3 linked regions of the Drosophila melanogaster genome follow. The protein of the gene in region 2 purifies or fractionates together with the protein of the main gene of each other region. This does not show direct contact. Each region holds a gene or a part of one and is shown on either strand. Other genes may lie near its edges. The genes, in order: hiro, CG7239 and pps.

Region 1 (4,363 bases), on a different chromosome or scaffold from region 2:
TGACTGTCAAGCGAATTCAAATCATTTCGTCACTGCTTTTCTCGCTTTTCTTTGGCCTTTCAATGCGCTTTGGCTCTATTCGCTTTCGTTTTCTCTTCCTAGGCACTCGATTTGTCTTCTGATTGTGATTTTCCAACTGGCCGTGCGCTGCACCTTGCGTATTTTCCGATGTCCGTGCGAACTAGACGACGACCCATACAAAAATAGCTGCCGCGTTATCTCGCGCAGTTTTCATTCTCTGCTCGCTCCCTCTCTCGCTCTCGCATGCGCAACGTGGGCAACTAGAACGGAAGGGAAGTCGGCGTGTGCGAGAGTGTGTGTGCGTGTGACCAGCTGAGAGGGTGCAACTGCGCATGCGACAACTTTACTGTTACTTTCGCCATGTGGCAACTCTGCAGGCGATCGCTTTTTAAGTAGAGTAAGATTAATGAGAACATACATATGTATGTATGTATTTTGTTTTCAGTTTAAGAATGAATTGATTTCACAAGATCTGCAACTAACTGCACTGTAAAATATAACTATAAAGTCTTTGCGAATTGTAATCAATATTTAATTTAAATTAATCGAACCACCACCAATTGGAAACCCACGAGTCCATACATTTCGAAAATAATCTTTATTTTAACGCTTTTCTCCGGCTAATTTGTTTAACCGAATTTGGTGAAGTGTCGCAGGATGTGCGACATGGCCGCGGGATTATCGGCAGGAACCATGTGACCAGCCCGGTTGACCCAAAACATGCTGAAGTTGCCATAGGTCTTCTCGTAACCCTCGAGAACTCGATCTACGGTGATTCCCACGCGCGGAGAGACCTGGTAAGATGGCTTGGCGGACCATTCCATTGCTTCGATCCAGTTGACGGCTCCCGGAGTGGCGCAAATCAGGTCCAGTCCTCCGGAGAACACGCCCACTTTTACGGTGGTGTTGTTCAGCAGTTCACCCACTAAAAGTGTCATAAGGCTATAATTTGAGGTAGCACCCAGACGGTTGAAACATACCAACATCCACAGCTGGCTTCATGAAATCGCCCATCAGCTTGGTGAAGGTGGTGCCGCTCTGGGCGCCCCATTTCACTCCGGTGTTGATTCCGAGGGCCTCGGTCACGGGTCCAAGCATTAGATCCTCCAGCAATTTGTCGCGGTCCTCATCCACATCGAATTTCACGAGGGTGCGATACATGACCTCTGGATAAGTGGTTGATGAGAATCAGCTCGGTAAGTTACGCAACGGATCTTACCCTCCGGAGTCATGGCAGCTCTGGACATCAACCTGTACTGATCACCCAATGTTGGGGTCTCCACGTTATAGAAGTCCACTCCCTTGGACTCGCGCAGCACCACTGACTGGGTGGAGCTCCACTGCAAAGTGGCCTGTGTCCACTTCTCGCGGTCAACATAGTCCTTAGTCTTCAGGGCCGAAGCTTCAATCTTGTCATGGCCATCCTGATCCACGATTCCCAACTGCAGCAGGAAGGGAGCCCACGAGAGCACAGAGTCTATGGGTGAGGTCCAGGGATCTCCCAAGGCCACCGAAACAAAGTTGCTCTCGATCTCACCGCGCTTGATGGCGTAATCCAACTCCAAAGCGAACTCCGGGGCCATCTTTCCGCCATAACTCTCGCAGAAGATGTGCAGCGGCACAGTCTTGAATTCCGGGTGGTTTGTGTAGAAGCCCTTCATCAGCTCAACGAGATCCAGGGCGATCTGCTTGTTGTTGGTCGTGTAGTAAGAAGATCCGTCCACGTAGCTGAAACCACTGCCCACGGGATTGTCGATGAACATCACGTTCATGTCCTTCACCCAAGTCCAGTCGCGGTAGCTGCCGTCGAGCTTCAGGGGACCCAACTCCTCAAAGTTTCCGTATCCCGTTGAGGAGGCACCTGGACCTCCTTGGAGCCAAATGGCCAGCGGACGCTCCGTGTAACTGGAGACATTGGCGGTGGTGTAGTACAGCCAGTAGAACATGTGGGCGCCAGTCCTGACATCCACAAATCCCCAATCCTGATCACCGGGTCCATAGCCCTTGCGTGCTGAGAGTATATTGAATTATAGCTCATTTCGATTAAATAGTTATTAATATACAAAGCTCTTTGATTTTGTAATTTCATGATAGCCCCTGATTTCTAGGGAACACTTGAGAAATCTAGCCTTTAAGTATATTAAACGGCTGCACGAGTAGCCATTTAGATAAGATTAATTGTTATAGATAGTGTAGATAGTTGATTGTATTGTCTTATAACAAACCGAATAGCGGTTGGTCACTGTATCTTTTACAATGGTAATAAGGTCTGTCCCCAAACGATTCATAAGTATTTCAATCTACGGATATAAAAGTAGGTAAAAAAGTCTGTAACAGATAATTCTGTTGGCCTGTTCTACAAGTCGTAAAGAACCGTTTGTTTTGGAACACTTTCTCACTGATTAGCACCCCTAATTGGAATACAAATCACGATTCTCACCGTCAACGGAAGCCAAGCCGGCAAATCCCAGTAGGGCCAAAAGTGCGATGATAGCGCGTCCAGCCATGTTGCACCAGTGTTTCAGTTCCAATTCCAAGAGACACCGATCGAGAGACAACCGCACACTTGGCAGTTCCACTGCCAATTGATCGCTGGTTGCTCCCAGACATCGAAGGTAAAATAGCAACAGCCAGCACCTGACACACCTGGAATTCGTAATCTGCGGGCAGGGGAACTGTGTTTGCAGAGTATTTATGGCCCTTCGCTGGACGGTGACGCGGCTTTTTGGTCAATCTGTGCTTGTCACTCGTCCGATTTGCCGAATCTTTGTGTCATATATTTAGATAGAGCCTATGAAGCTCCAAAATCATCGCAAAGATTGCACTTTGCTATCTTGAGTGGGTTTTCCGAGGGCTTTTCCTATTATTTTTCGGTATCACTTGCGGTTTATCCCACGTGACATGCGTGAAAGATATCTAAGGTGTCTCCCAAAAACTCTTTTTAAATCATCAGCATTCTTTGATTGATTGACTATATTATTTTTAGGTGTTCATATAATCATATATGCATCAATTCTGGGCATTGCTTTTTAAAGAGCAGATTAAGACATACATTTGACATTTATCAAAATAACTAATAGGATAACTTCCCCAGCTTCTATAAGCAAAAAATCCATTACGATTTACATTATATACTTTCAGTAAAACACTCCTCTATTTTTAGACGAATATAGTATACAACTGGCTTGCATACTGAGTTTATTATAATTCAATTTAAATGAATTTAGCCAAATGAGGTAAACTCTCGAAGTACATGACTCATAGCCGCAGGGTTGTCCGCCGGAGCCATGTGACCACTTCGGTTGATCCAGAACATGGTAAAGTTACCGCCCGTCTTTTGATAGCCCTCCAAGATGCGATCCACCGTGATGCCATTGCGTGGAGCAGCCAGGTACTCGTCCTTTCGGCTCCAGTCCAGCTTGGCTATCCAGTTGACGGTGCCCGGTGTGGCGCAAATCAAATCCAGGCCACCGGAGAATACGCCGACCTTCAGAGGAGTCTTCTCCAGCAATTCGTTCACTGTCATTCAATGGATGTCAGACGCTTTCGTTATATAAGAAGTAATATCCCTACCAATGTGGATGACTGGCTTCATGAAGTCCGTTCTGTGGATGTCAAAAGTGGTCCCACTCTGCGATCCCCAGATGACATTCGAAGGTATACCCAGGGTTTCCGCCACCGGGCCCCGCATCAGATCCTCCAGTAACTTGGTTCGATCCTCATCAATATCGTATTTCACCATGGTGCGATACAGACGTTCTGCAGGGAAATATCATGGTTTGAAAAATATCGTATCGAAGTATTTGGTTCACCTTCGGAGGTCAAGGCCTTTGATCTCTGGTAGAGACCACCCTTTGTCTCCTTCAGCACGTTGTAGAAGTCCACACCCTTGGAGGCTTTCATCACCTCCCACTGGGTGTTGCCCCACTGATAGGTGGCCTGAATCCATCGCTCCTCCTCCACCAACTGAGCCGTGAAGTTCGCTGCCTCTTGAATGGCATTGTATCCCGCGTGGTCCACGATTCCCATTTCTCTGAGAAAAGGTCCCCATGCGAGCACGGAGTCGATGGGCGAGGTCCATGGATCCCCCAAAGCCACCGAGGTAAGGTTGCTCTTGACCTCACCACGCTTCTTGGCGTAGTACAGTTCGAGTGCAAACTCCGGCGCCATCTTTCCACCGTAACTCTCGCAGAATATATGCAGCGGCACCTCCTCGAACTCTGGATGCAGGGTATAGAATCCCTTCATCAGCTCAACCAAATCTAGAGCGATCTCCTTATTGGTGGCCGTGTAAAAGGCCGTGTTGTCCACGTAGCTAAAACCACTGCCTACGGGGTTGTCA
Region 2 (4,220 bases):
CATTAGGAGGGCGTCTACCTTCACGGCTTTAAAAGTAAAGATAACAAAGATTTTTACTTTCGATTTCTAACTATATTCTTTCAACTTCAAGAAGAAGATTGAGATGGGATAAGTATCTAGCATTCCTATTTCAATTTTTATTTGATGAAGATCGTTTGTTTTTTGTAATTGTATGCACTTTTAAAGATCCTGCCGATTTTATAAACATTGACATAAACAATCCATCCACAAGGGCAAAGACCCTAGAATATTCTATTCTAGTGTCTTTGACAAGGGTGTATGCTAGTCTCCTTTAATAAAAATGTTGCATACTTTTCAGCGCTGTTTAATCTTAAAATGTTATTTTACATTTGGTGCTCAGTGCCTCGATTTTAAGTTATTTTTCTATTAAATAATTATAAAATTCTTTGCTCCAAATAATATTATTATATAACTTTGCAGAAATCGATTGTGAAAATATAACCCTTCGGTTTCAAAACTCGAAAATCGATAAAAAAAAAGCAATAATCCAGCGATTTTCGTTATTTAAATATATTTATTATTTAAGTTTACTTTTTAATCTTACAAACAGTTTTGCATGTTTTTTGTTAAGTTTCGTGGCACCGATCAGCCTGCGAAGCGGCATGTTGCAGCAATCCAGTATCTGAAAACCAGTGTTCGTGCACTGCGGTCCAAAATTGAGGTTATGAAAAGTCGGAAAAGGAGTTCACTGCGGCCGCTGGGCCGTAGGATGCTGATGCTGCTTCTGCAGCTGAAGGACGTGGCTCAGAATCTGCGCCTGCTGCTCAAGACACTTGGGGAAGAAGGTCTGCATGAGGTCGACCTTGCGTTCCTCCAGCTCCAGTCGCTGCCGACATATCTTGGTTTGTTCGTAGAGCAGCTGGTTCTTTCGCCGAACTTCCTCCATGTAGAGCGCCTCCAGCGAGTCTGCGTGTGGGGGATTCACAGATCCGAATGGACGACCGCGCTTCCGTGGCACAGGGACGGGGGAGGCGCCAACGACGGCGTTGTTGGTGGTCGAAACTGGAGCTGCAGCCGGAACCGATGCCGATACCTGTGCGGGCACCGGCGCTGGCATGCCTCCGTTTGCGTTTGTGGCCACGCTGATGGTGTTATTGCTGCTATTGATATAGGCTACCGCCGTTATGGGCTGATGGTTGACGGTCGATGTGGCCGCAGTGCTAATAACGCTGTTGTTATTGAATTGAGCCGGCTGCTGCTGAAATTGCGACTCATAGTTTGTTTGGAACTGCTGCTGTTGTTGCTGCTGCTGCTGCAGTTGTTGCTGCTGCTGTGGCGTCTGCAGCTCGAGCAGCTGAGCCGGCTCGGCTGGGGAATACTGTTGCAACTGCTCCTGAAAGGGAATGGAGCGGTACTCATCGTCCTCGTACTCCTGCTTGACCACCTCGTCATACTGGTCCGTAAACAGCTCCGTGTTGAAGCTAACTCCGCCGCTGGTGTTGTTGTTGTGGCTGCTGCCGTGATTGCTATTGCTGCTGCTATTGTAATAGGTGGCAGTGCTTGGCTCACTGGCCAGTCCCAAGCCTTGCTGCTGCTGCTGCTGAACGGATTGCTGCTGTGGCTGCTGCTGCAACTGCTCTGCGGACGCATCATCCCGGGGCGGTGTCATGTCGCGGTTGTTGAGCAGCGCCTCTGGCGGCAGCGGATCGGCGTTCTTGGGCCTGTGCAGGTTCTTCAGGATGCGATTGATAATGTCGTACTTCTTCCAGCGCGTAGCATAGCTCGAAGGATCCGCCTGCAGCTGTTTTTTGACTTGCCTTAAAAGGGAAACCAGTCAGTTAATCCGGTATAGCAAAGTGTCTAAACGGTTACCTACCTGAACTTGGCCCTGGTCTGGTTGACCTTCATCTGGATCTCCTCGGGCTTCACGTCCACGGCGAACCGGTCGCGCAGTTCCTCGGCCCACCGGCCAAAGAAGATGGTGTTCTTGCCGGTGCGCGTCAGGCGCCAGTTGTCGCGTCCCCAGATCTCGTACAGGCGCTCCTCCTCGCTGGGCGTCCAGTAGCGACGCGCCTTCTCCTTGCCCCTGCCATCGAGCAGCTCCTGACCACCGCACATGCCTAAGTCCTGCTCGGCACCGCTGCCGCTTCCGCCCGCGTTCAACGCCAGCTTCTCGTAGTCCATCGACTGCTCTGCACCGGCTCCTGATCTGCTCCCGCAGATGTATCCCTGTAACGTTGCCTTTGGATATGCGATCTCCACTCTAGTTACACAATGCGACGCTGTGGTAGAATGGTTGAAGCCAAGTGCAGTTTTTCCGCACAAAAAATCAACAACAGCTCTGATACACAGAAGAGTGTGACCTTGCGGCGCGAGAACGCCGAAAATGCCTAGATTCCTGAGCGAATTTCCTGAAATAAGTAATATAATAAATTTCATTTAGTACCATATCAGTATCATGTATATACTACAGCTGGGAGAATGGCTTTGGGGCTAGTCCAATATTAAGAAATAAAATTATTAAGATATTAGATATATCTTTTCCAGATTTCAATAGCTCTATAAGAAAATTTAAATCATTGATGGTATTTTTTGGCGCCTGCCGCGCTCAAGCGTTATTGGTATTTCCACGCCTGGTCCTTGGTCACGTACGAAAATGTTTGGATTATAACGATTCCACAAAATTGAAATTAGACCGGAATATGAGCGGCCAGAAGCACCTGCGATTGCGCTACTACACGTCGCTGGAGGAGGCCATGCTACTGCGGCTGTGGCGCGAGCACCTGCATGCCATACCCTCCTACACGGACAACCTGCCCATTTTCCGGGAAATCGCGCACGGCCTGCAGCAGAACGGAGTTCGGCTCAATAAGCAGGAGGCTCGCCGGCGCATCAACAGCTACCGCAACAAGTATTTGTGAGGCGCAGCAGCGGCTCGGGTCAGTTCACAGTGCTAATATCTCCTTCCACTTCTCTGCAGGAACGATCGCAATCGCGTGGGGGGCAATGCGAACTTCGCGAAGGATTGGCGTCTCTACGCGCTGATCGATTGCCTCTTCTGTCCTGCCTGGCCGTCGTCCGCCCTCTTCCATTTCCGCAATGTGCTGGAGACGATCCGTGCGACAGCACGTGTGGATTTGCCCGCCCTGCCGCCACTGCTATACACTTCGCCCGCCCAGCTAAAATTTGAGCGCGACTCAGAGGGATGCACCTTCCTCGATGCCCAGCCCCTAGTTCCCGCAGTAGTGAAGACAGAGCCTCTGCCAGACGAACACCACCAGCTGGTGAATATTGAATACAAGCCCACAGTGACGCAGCTGGAAAACGCGGCTAGCCACTACCTGGAGAGAGCTACTGCCGAAAGTGTCATTCAGCGGTCGCCTCTCACGCCTGCCAACCACATCCTGCCCGAGGCAGAGGATGCGCCATATGGAGGCCACACCAACGGTGGCCAGACGGACGCCGAACGTTCGGCGAGCAAAAGGAGACGAGGGCGACGTAGTATACTGCCGCACTCGGGCAAGATCACAATGGCAATAGTGGAGGCGCTGCGCAAGGAGAACAGTTTGCTCGAGCAGCAGAACGACGCCTGTCTGCAGTCGCTCGTGCGCAAGGAGAAGCAGTTCCTGGACATGAAACATAACTTTCTGGCGTATATGGAGCGGCAGGAGGCAGTGCTGGCGTTAATAAAGCAAACGACCATCAAGCTGGAACCATGATCCCGACTACTAGCACCACGTGGTAAGGACATTGTATGACAGCTTTAGCTTTAAGTTGGGAATAGAGTCGCGGCGCTCGACCCTGTGTATGTTTTTCAATTCGTTCCTTTCTCAGACACAGATGTCTAATTCACTCGACGTACAAAGCAGCAGCATAGCGAACCGAAGATATTATAATTTCTCAAACGTTCTTTTTCTAGCGTCATAAGTGTAATGTGTATGAACAATCGTCTGTGCAAAAGATCAATCTATACGGTCTTTAGTCTTAAATTAAAAACATTGTCTTGAGGCGAACTTGTATGGTAGCTACATTTTTAAAAAAAAAACTAAAACTAAACAACTGGCTAAAAAATAAATTAGATGAAAGACTATTATACTATATATATATACTATACTATATAGACTATACTATTATTTCTATTGTTACAGAATATCTTGTTGATATAATAGTAACGAAATCAAACATAAATTCAAATGAAATCAGTGTGAATAGCCTATTAAGTTTTGCATTTCGATCAACTTAGCGTGTGCAACAACCGC
Region 3 (8,056 bases), on a different chromosome or scaffold from region 2:
GTCTGCAGCGCTGGTGGCAACTTATCGCCGCTACCCAAGGGGAATATGTAAAAGTCGCGTATCTGATCCGAGTCCACGCCCAGGACGCCCAGACGCTGACGCGAGTCCAGGTATTCGAAGAAGAGATCAAACTTATACGTTTCGCTGGGCGAGGCGGGGAATATGTTCACAATGACCACTTCCTTTGTGGGACTCTTCTTTAGCTTCTTGATATATTCCCAGACATTAACGCGGGTTATGCGACCGATTACGTCCATCTGACTTGGCATCAGGTTACCCAATTGATGGCAGTTACCCTGCACGGGGTACATGACGATTTCGAAGTCGGCCAAATCGATCATCTTGAGAGTACCGGACCACAGTGAACTCGTCGTCAGGCCGTGCAAGTAGCGGGAGTAGTTGTCCATTGGCTCAGGTGCCTTCAAAGAACTCGGAAGCGTTGGAAGTGGCTTGGGTGACGGCTTTGGTTTGCCTAGATTCGCCGCCTGCTCGACTGTTTTCTCCGATTCCAGAATTTGATCAACCAAGTTGTAAGCACTCGCCTCGGTTTTCTTTTCCGCCGTCTTTTTGGGTACCGGCGATTGGTCGTTTTCGTCCCTCTTCTTGGGCAAGGGTGATGGAACGATCTCATCCCTTTCCCGGCTCTGTTTCTCACGCGATCTATGCTCACGCTCCCCGCTGCCTGGCTGCTCTCCTCCTTCGTTGTGCTGCCTGCGATGGCGCTTATCGACGCTTCGACCCCGACTATTGGAACGACTTCGACTGCGCTTTCGATGATGATGCTTGTGGCTCTTGTGTCGCTTTTCCTTCGATGAACCCGCCTTTTCCCTGGACGTGGAACGTTCCAGTGTGGAGGTAGACGGCTCACTGACCAGCGACGTCTGTTTTGTGTCCGCCATAGATGATGCTTCACTAACGTTCTCTTCGGGCAGCGTAACATCCACTTTGGTGGCGATTACCTCCTCTCCCTTGTGTGTTTTCACCACATAGTTTTGGGCACATGCCAACAAGTCCAGCTCCGATTTCTTGATCATATCCAACTGGTGACGGTTTTCCTCCTCCCGCCACTTGGCCAACTCTTGGCTGGCCAGCTGTTCCGGCGTCATCCGCACCAACTGCCTGGGCTCCACTTGCTTGGCACAAATCTTTTCGAAAAGCGTTCGGTTCTTGCGATCCTTTATGTTGAACATAAGCGATCGATACTTGGCCTTGTACTTGGCTCCCACGTCTCGGCCAAACGAGTTGAACATTTCCAGCTCCACGTTCTTGACAAACTGATCCACCTCAAGTACGGTCGGCCACTGAGTCGTTGGCTGGCCAGAGTTCTCCTCGGCAGCCTGAGCTTCTTTGATTCGCGCTAGTAGTTGCTCCCTGAGTGATCGCCGGATGCCGATTCGAACCGGCTCGGGTTTGCCCGCTGCGATACGATTAGGGGTTGGCGCCTGTACTGTAGGTGTTGTCTTCTCTTTATCCTTTTTGGCCAAAGGACGCACGGAAGAGATTCCAAGTTGGTGGCTTGCCTGAACTGTGGTGTTTTGGGGATGGGACAATTTGGCAGGACCTTCAGGTGGCTTTTTTGCAACTCCTAGCACGGCGGGTTCTGAAGTTGAGGTGGCGGCTTCCGGTGCCCCTTTCAGCAAACGCTTCTCTGCGTCGGCTGACTGAACGGTTCCTGAGGGCAGCACCTCGAAGGAGGGATTCTCCTGAAGCCATTTCCGAAACTGATGTGCAGAAGGGGCCATGTGCCCGGTGATAACCCGACCACTTTTACGCTCAAACACATTAATCTGCAAAGCAAAGTGTGCACATTATTTGTTGTATAGTTCTAATTAAATTAACCTTTATTGCATACCCGTTCCACTTTTGACACAGTGTCCGCTTGCCTCAGCACGTCCTCAAACAAGTCCTTCTTCTTGTTCTTTTTGGCATCGAAGGAGTTGTTCAGCAAAGACTGAGCACCGGCATTCTGTGGCAATGGGCCTTTGGTAGCAGCATGTGCTTGAATTGCACTTTGGGCATACTTCCGGATGCACTCTTCGCCACAATAGACGGAAGAGGTGCTCGCCGGTCGCTTGCAGACCACACATAACGTCTCCGAAATTCGTTTGCCAGGTGATGGGCCCAGTCTGATAAAGTTCAGCTGCTGCTGCTGCTGGTGAGAGATTGCACCGGTTGGGAACTTTTTGGCCGGCTTTGCCATTGGAATACGCATGGGGGAACTGGCTACAGTTAAGACCACCGGTAGTGTTCTTCTGGGAGCCGAAGGAGCCGCGACCTGAACAATTTCTGCTGTCGTAGTTAGTACTTTGGTTTCACTCGGCCTCTGCTCAGGTTGAGTGGTTGGTCTGGTGACCAACATGTCTGTTATTCGTGGTTGGCTCTACAAAGATAACGAATCAATAAAAGGTAACTTTATGTCTATTGTATGACTTTACCCTCTCCTCCTGCCTTTTAACGCATTTGGGGCACTTCCAGTCGATGCCCTTGTTTTCCATATCTGTGCCCATCGCCTTGGTCACCCCCACGCATGTGCCGTGGAACCAATCCTCGCACAAATCGCAGCAGATCATGAAACGATTGTTGTGTGGCTGACGACAAATGCACCAGAGCCTAAACCAAAAAAAAAAAAAAAAAAACAAAAAAGGTTTTCAACAAACGCACAGATTTGCATCTATGAAATATCCAACTATAATCTTACTTGTTGGGGTCATCGTCATCCTCCTGAGACTCTGAAGCGTCGGGATCATTGTTCTGACTTGCATCAAGCTTCTTTGATCTTCTGGGTGCCGTTGAACGTCTGGCCATCGATGGCTCTCTAGGATTGGGTCGTTTCGGCCCACTTCCCGGCTGGCTGTCATTGCTCAGGCTGCTGGTATTGAGCGGCTGATTGATGCTCGCATCCAACGAAGATTCACCAAACGACAGGTTGCCTGCATCACTGGAACTGGTCGCAGCCATGCCCGGAGCTGAAGGAAACTGTGCTCGTCGCTTGGCCCGCGTGGTGGGGGCTTCAATGGGAGGCAGGTATATGACCCGACCGTAGCCGCGCACAACCTTCGCGGAGGTGGGCGGAGTGCTTGCTGCCACGCTCCTCGAGGGTGTACTGCAGGCAATCGGCAATGAGGTCATCGATTGTGCGGGCTCCGTAAGACTTGCATTCGGCAGTAGGTTCGTGTGTGCCTGTAAAGGAGCAATGCAGTTAGCTAGCAAAATCAATAACCAGGATATTCTACACTTGCCTGTACTTGCGGCACGTCTACGGGCTCAATGGACGTAGGCATAGATACGATGGCGTCCAGGGTTCCGGGCTCTGTACTAGCCAATACTTGCTTAACCACCTCGGCCTCAAACTGTTTGTCCTCCTCGATGAGACCGACCACGTGCTGGAGAAAATCAGCTGTAATCTCATCCTCATTCGCCGTATCCATTATATTATTCGGATCGGCTGCAGCTGCATTTCCCACTCCCTGCATCTCGGGAGCTGGAAAAATATTCGTAGGCAAGGACACTGGTGGCGGATCTAGATCCGCCGCTGTACTCTCCAGCATCTTAACCAGTTTCGGTATATCCTCGTCCGCATTTACTACCGGCTGCTCCACAAGCGTGGACTTAAGTAGCTCGTCCTGCACAATCGAGTTGATCAGATCGAGCTGCTTGTCATTTTCTGCTGCCAGCTCGGAGGAACTCTGGTGCGTCTCGATTACTATTTGGGCGGGCAGTTTATGCGACTGAGCTGTGTCCACGCCGATGGGCATGAAGCCCTTGGATGGGGTATGTGCCTGAGCAGGAACCGGAACCACAATTGGCGACATCTGCTGATTGTAGCTCGATCTCGGCGTGCTTGGCGACATGACGGCCCGGTGTCGGAGTGGAACTGGCGAAGATTTTGTGGCTGCATTGTTGTCCTCACCCAGCAAAGTGTTGAGATTGGTAAACACTCCTTTGGGACTGGCCATATTCTTGTTGATAATAATCTCTTTAACTTCCTGCGGCGAGTTTACGATCCTTCCCAATTGCACGGCAGGCATACGACGAACATTGGAATTGGCCGGTGTCGTTGGCAGTGGAGGTCTCTTCACAGGCAGCGATTGATGTGTGGGCCGGATTTTGAGAAACGATGTGCTTGGAAGACCTCTGCCTAGGGCAAACACTGCGGGCACTGATTTTGTGGCAGGCATCTGGATTATTTGCCCAATTTGCGGCGCCTTCGGCTCCAAAACTTCCTTGCGTTTCTTCAGCTCGGGGAAGTGCTGCGGCGTTGTGGGTGGCGGAGGCAGCGGCTTCATTGGTTTGCTGGGAGTCTGCCTAACCACCTTTCTAACCCGCTTCCTCTTATTCGGATTACGTCTATTGCTATGCCTCATATCGAAGTCCATGTCACTGTCCCTGTCGTTGTCCGATTCCTGGAACTCATCGCTCTCCTCACTCATTTCCTCCGAATCATAGGCCTTGTCGGCATTTTCCTCTTCGGCGGAATCCGAGCTTTGGGCGTCATCATCATCTTCGATGTATTCCTGCACAGGCGGAGCAATCACTTTGACTGGAGCACGAGTGGGCCTCAGCCTGGCATTGACCGAATTGTTCGCGATAATCTCTGGCTTCTGTCTTGGCAGTGGCGAATGGATGGGCTTGCGGATCAGCTGCACTTTCGGTTGCAGCTGCGCTGCCTGCTGAACTTGGTGGGGCTTGACTGGCAGTCTCTGGACCTTGACCTGCACCGGGCTTAAGGGTATGGCCTGGACTCGTTTTTTGGCATTGATTAGCTTGACACTGCCCGGTGCCTGCATTATGATTTTGCGGCTTTGGGCCTGCATTTCCATGGCCATCTTCTCATCGCGCTTGTGGTTCTTCAGCTGCTCTGGCGAGGTAAACGGTGTGTAGTTGTGGTCATTTCGAATAACTTCCATAAGAGCGTCTGTCTCCGCAGTCCTTTTGTAGACGGAAACTCCGGCAAGCTCTGTAAATAGAATACAAATTAGTTGAAAGCTAAAGTTCGTTTACTTTCGTTGTGCTCGAAATAATGATGTTGTTTTGCTTTATCATTTGGACCACATCGATGTACGTTATTTACTCAGTGCATTTTTCACAACCATATCAGCCGTGTTGTCCGCATAAAACTGCTCCACTCGCAAACCCACAATTTGTGGACGCTCCTTGGGTTTGCGTCGCTTTCGCTTTTTGATGGCCTTGGGCTTTCGGCCAACTCGCTTGCGTGTGCGCGGGGCATCGGCTTCCGTCTCCGTGGAGTCGCTATTGTTGTCGTCACCGGTGTTATGGTTCTCCTCGTCGTGTTCATCCATCTCACTGGCATTATCGCCACCACTTTGGCTGCCATTGTCACTGTCCAGCTCCGAGTCGGTGGCAGTTTCCATAAAGTTCGCCAGCTCCTCCAGCCGTTCGTCTTCCTCTTGGTCCACCATGCTCGGCGTGGGCGATGTAATCCGCACCACGCTAATGGTGGAAATCGATTTTTCCTCTGCAACAAGCCCATGTCAGTGTGGGGAGCAATGAGCGTGTGTCAGGCCTATTGGACCCACTTACCCATGATGTTCCCAATCGCACGCTCGTCGAAGGAGATTCCGCTCTTGCTGTAGACCACAACCAGATTGGAGTCGGCTTCGGCTGCCGCCGGCCGGGCGCTGGGCGCCTCCGTAAACACCGAACTGGACATGACGCCAACTGCTCGTGATCCCCGCTAGCGGCGCATTGGAGTCGGCGGCCCACACAGCGTGTACTTAATTAGCTTGGAACAGAACAACGACTCATTTGTTGTTGCATCCGCCGCGTTGTGACGCCGACATTGAAATTGGATAGTAGGTGGAAAACGGTCACTGGGCTGCGTTCGCCCTATACTTAATACTGGTGATGCTCTGCTGGCTGCGCCCACAAGCTGGCTGTTATATTGTTGAGATTCGAGAGCTTAATCCGTTGCTGTTTCGCTTTAAAATGCAAATTTTTCTCAATTATGAAAATAAAATTTGCAAAAAAAGCCACTTCCAGTGTGACCAGACTTGGGAATGATGCCGATGCTGTAGGTTATCGATAGTTTCTGTGCCTCGCTCTGCGGAACTAGTTTCAATTGCTAGCTCATTTGAACAAAATGTTAATCTGTGTTTATTTAGGGAAATCCTTTATTTTCAAGGTCGGCTGCCAAAAAGGAAAACCGTATGATAAATAAATGAATTGAGCTAATTAAAAATATTAAAGAATATATTTAAAAAAATAAAATTCCCGATCGATGAATTGTAATTTAAGCTTGTTTTTTTTCGCGTTCAGTTCTCGGTCATACTTTTGCGAAAACAGAAAACAAAAAACACTGATAAAACCCACATAATTTACTGCCTTTGTTAGCCCGGTTATTGGCTATTATCAGCTAATCTCACTTGCTCGAGCACTCATTGTTGTCCAGAGCGCCAGTTAAACTTTGTCCTCCGTCGCAACACCATGGCCGCCTTTCAGATGGGATCGGGTTACGCAGTGCCCATGACCCTCTTCCGGAACAACAGGGATCGTGCTGGCAAGGCCATCCTTAAGGAGCTGCTGCCGGGCCTCAAGTTCAACGACGGCAACCTGCTGGTGCTCCTCGAGGGCGGCAAGGACCAGAGCCTGTACAACACCGACGTGGACTACGTTTTCCGGCAGGAGTCCTATTTCCAGTACTTGTTCGGTGTCAAGGAGCCGGGCTGCTACGGCATCCTAACCATTGATGTGAAAACTGGTGCACAGAAAAGTGTTCTCTTTGTTCCTCGCTTTCCCGATGAGTACGGCACCTGGATGGGCGAACTGCTTGGGCTGCAGGAGTTCAAGGCCATGTACGAGGTGGACGAGGTGTTTTATGTTGACGAAATGAGTGTTTATCTGGAGGGGGCGTCGCCCAAGCTGATACTCACATTGAGTGGCACCAACAGCGATAGCGGGCTCACCCTTCAGCCGCCCGACTTTGCTGGCAAGGAGAAGTATGTGACTGACTGCAATCTGCTGTATCCAATTCTCTCTGAGTGCCGAGTGATCAAGTCACCCGAAGAGATCGAGGTGCTGCGCTACGTGGCCAAGGTATCCTCGGACGCGCACATCAAGGTGATGCGGTTTATGCGTCCCGGTAGAATGGAATTTGAGGGCGAATCCCTGTTCCTGCACCACGCCTACTCCGTGGGCGGCTGCCGGCATGCCTCCTACACCTGCATATGCGGCAGCGGAACGAACTCGTCGATCTTGCACTATGGACACGCGGGCGCACCCAACAGCAAGCCCGTCCAGGATGGTGATCTCTGCCTGTTCGATATGGGAGCCAACTATTGTGGCTATGCGGCCGACATAACCTGCACATTCCCGGCCAATGGAAAGTTCACCGACGACCAGAAGTTCATCTACAATGCCGTGCTGGATGCCCGCAATGCGGTCACAGAGTCAGCCCGTGACGGAGTCTCCTGGGTGGACATGCACAAGCTGGCGGGCAGGGTGTTGCTGCAGCGCCTGAAGGAGGGCGGCATGCTCAAGGGCGATGTGGAGGAGATGCTCGAGGCAGGTGTTTCGGGCGTGTTCCAGCCACATGGCCTGGGCCACTTGATCGGTCTGGATGTGCACGACGTGGGCGGCTATCTGCCCAAGGAGCCCAAGCGCCCCAGTGAACCGTGGCTGAGCAAGCTGCGCTTTGCCCGCATCCTTAAGGCCGGCATGTATGTCACAATCGAACCCGGCTGCTACTTCATCAACTGGCTGATGGACCGCGCTCTGGCCGATCCGAACATTGCTAAATTCATTAACGCAGAGATGTTCAATCGCTTCCGGAATTTCGGAGGTGTGCGCATCGAGGACGATGTGCTCATCACGAAGACTGGCGTGGAGAACTTTGCGATTGTGCCGCGAACGGTGGAGGACATCGAGGCAACCATGACCTGTAAATATGATTCGCCGGTTTAGAGCTTTTAAACTATATTCCACGCGTAAACATATGTAATATAATCTGTATCATAATCAAATTATGGAATACCCAATAAATAAATAAGGTCTCATCAGTTGACATCTAAAGGTTTGTCAAGTTTCTATGGGAAACTTT

Evidence for each region.
Region 1: the proteins of CG7239 (region 2) and hiro purify together in Drosophila melanogaster (affinity purification with mass spectrometry, with the first as the bait; one large-scale study listed by BioGRID). This does not show direct contact.
Region 3: the proteins of CG7239 (region 2) and pps purify together in Drosophila melanogaster (affinity purification with mass spectrometry, with the first as the bait; one large-scale study listed by BioGRID). This does not show direct contact.

Annotation. Positions count from the first base shown.
Region 1 is NT_037436.4:685,341-689,703, forward strand, and holds hiro (highroad), read right to left. Parts: upstream 2,619-4,363; 5' UTR 2,529-2,618; coding exon 2,462-2,528; intron 2,033-2,461; coding exon 1,241-2,032; intron 1,188-1,240; coding exon 1,002-1,187; intron 947-1,001; coding exon 651-946; 3' UTR 602-650; downstream 1-601. Other genes in the region: CG32483 (uncharacterized protein), read right to left, coding at 3,245-3,540, 3,595-3,780, 3,834-4,363.
Region 2 is NT_033779.5:5,800,330-5,804,549, reverse strand, and holds CG7239 (uncharacterized protein), read right to left. Parts: upstream 2,331-4,220; 5' UTR 2,146-2,330; coding exon 1,838-2,145; intron 1,779-1,837; coding exon 707-1,778; 3' UTR 520-706; downstream 1-519. Other genes in the region: CG14005 (uncharacterized protein), read left to right, coding at 2,664-2,878, 2,942-3,680.
Region 3 is NT_033777.3:12,411,772-12,419,827, reverse strand, and holds the start of pps (protein partner of snf), read right to left. Parts: upstream 6,001-8,056; 5' UTR 5,672-6,000; coding exon 5,542-5,671; intron 5,477-5,541; coding exon 5,072-5,476; intron 4,958-5,071; coding exon 3,240-4,957; intron 3,181-3,239; coding exon 2,699-3,180; intron 2,611-2,698; coding exon 2,436-2,610; intron 2,381-2,435; coding exon 1,853-2,380; intron 1,788-1,852; coding exon 1-1,787. Other genes in the region: Dip-C (dipeptidase C), read left to right, coding at 6,445-7,920.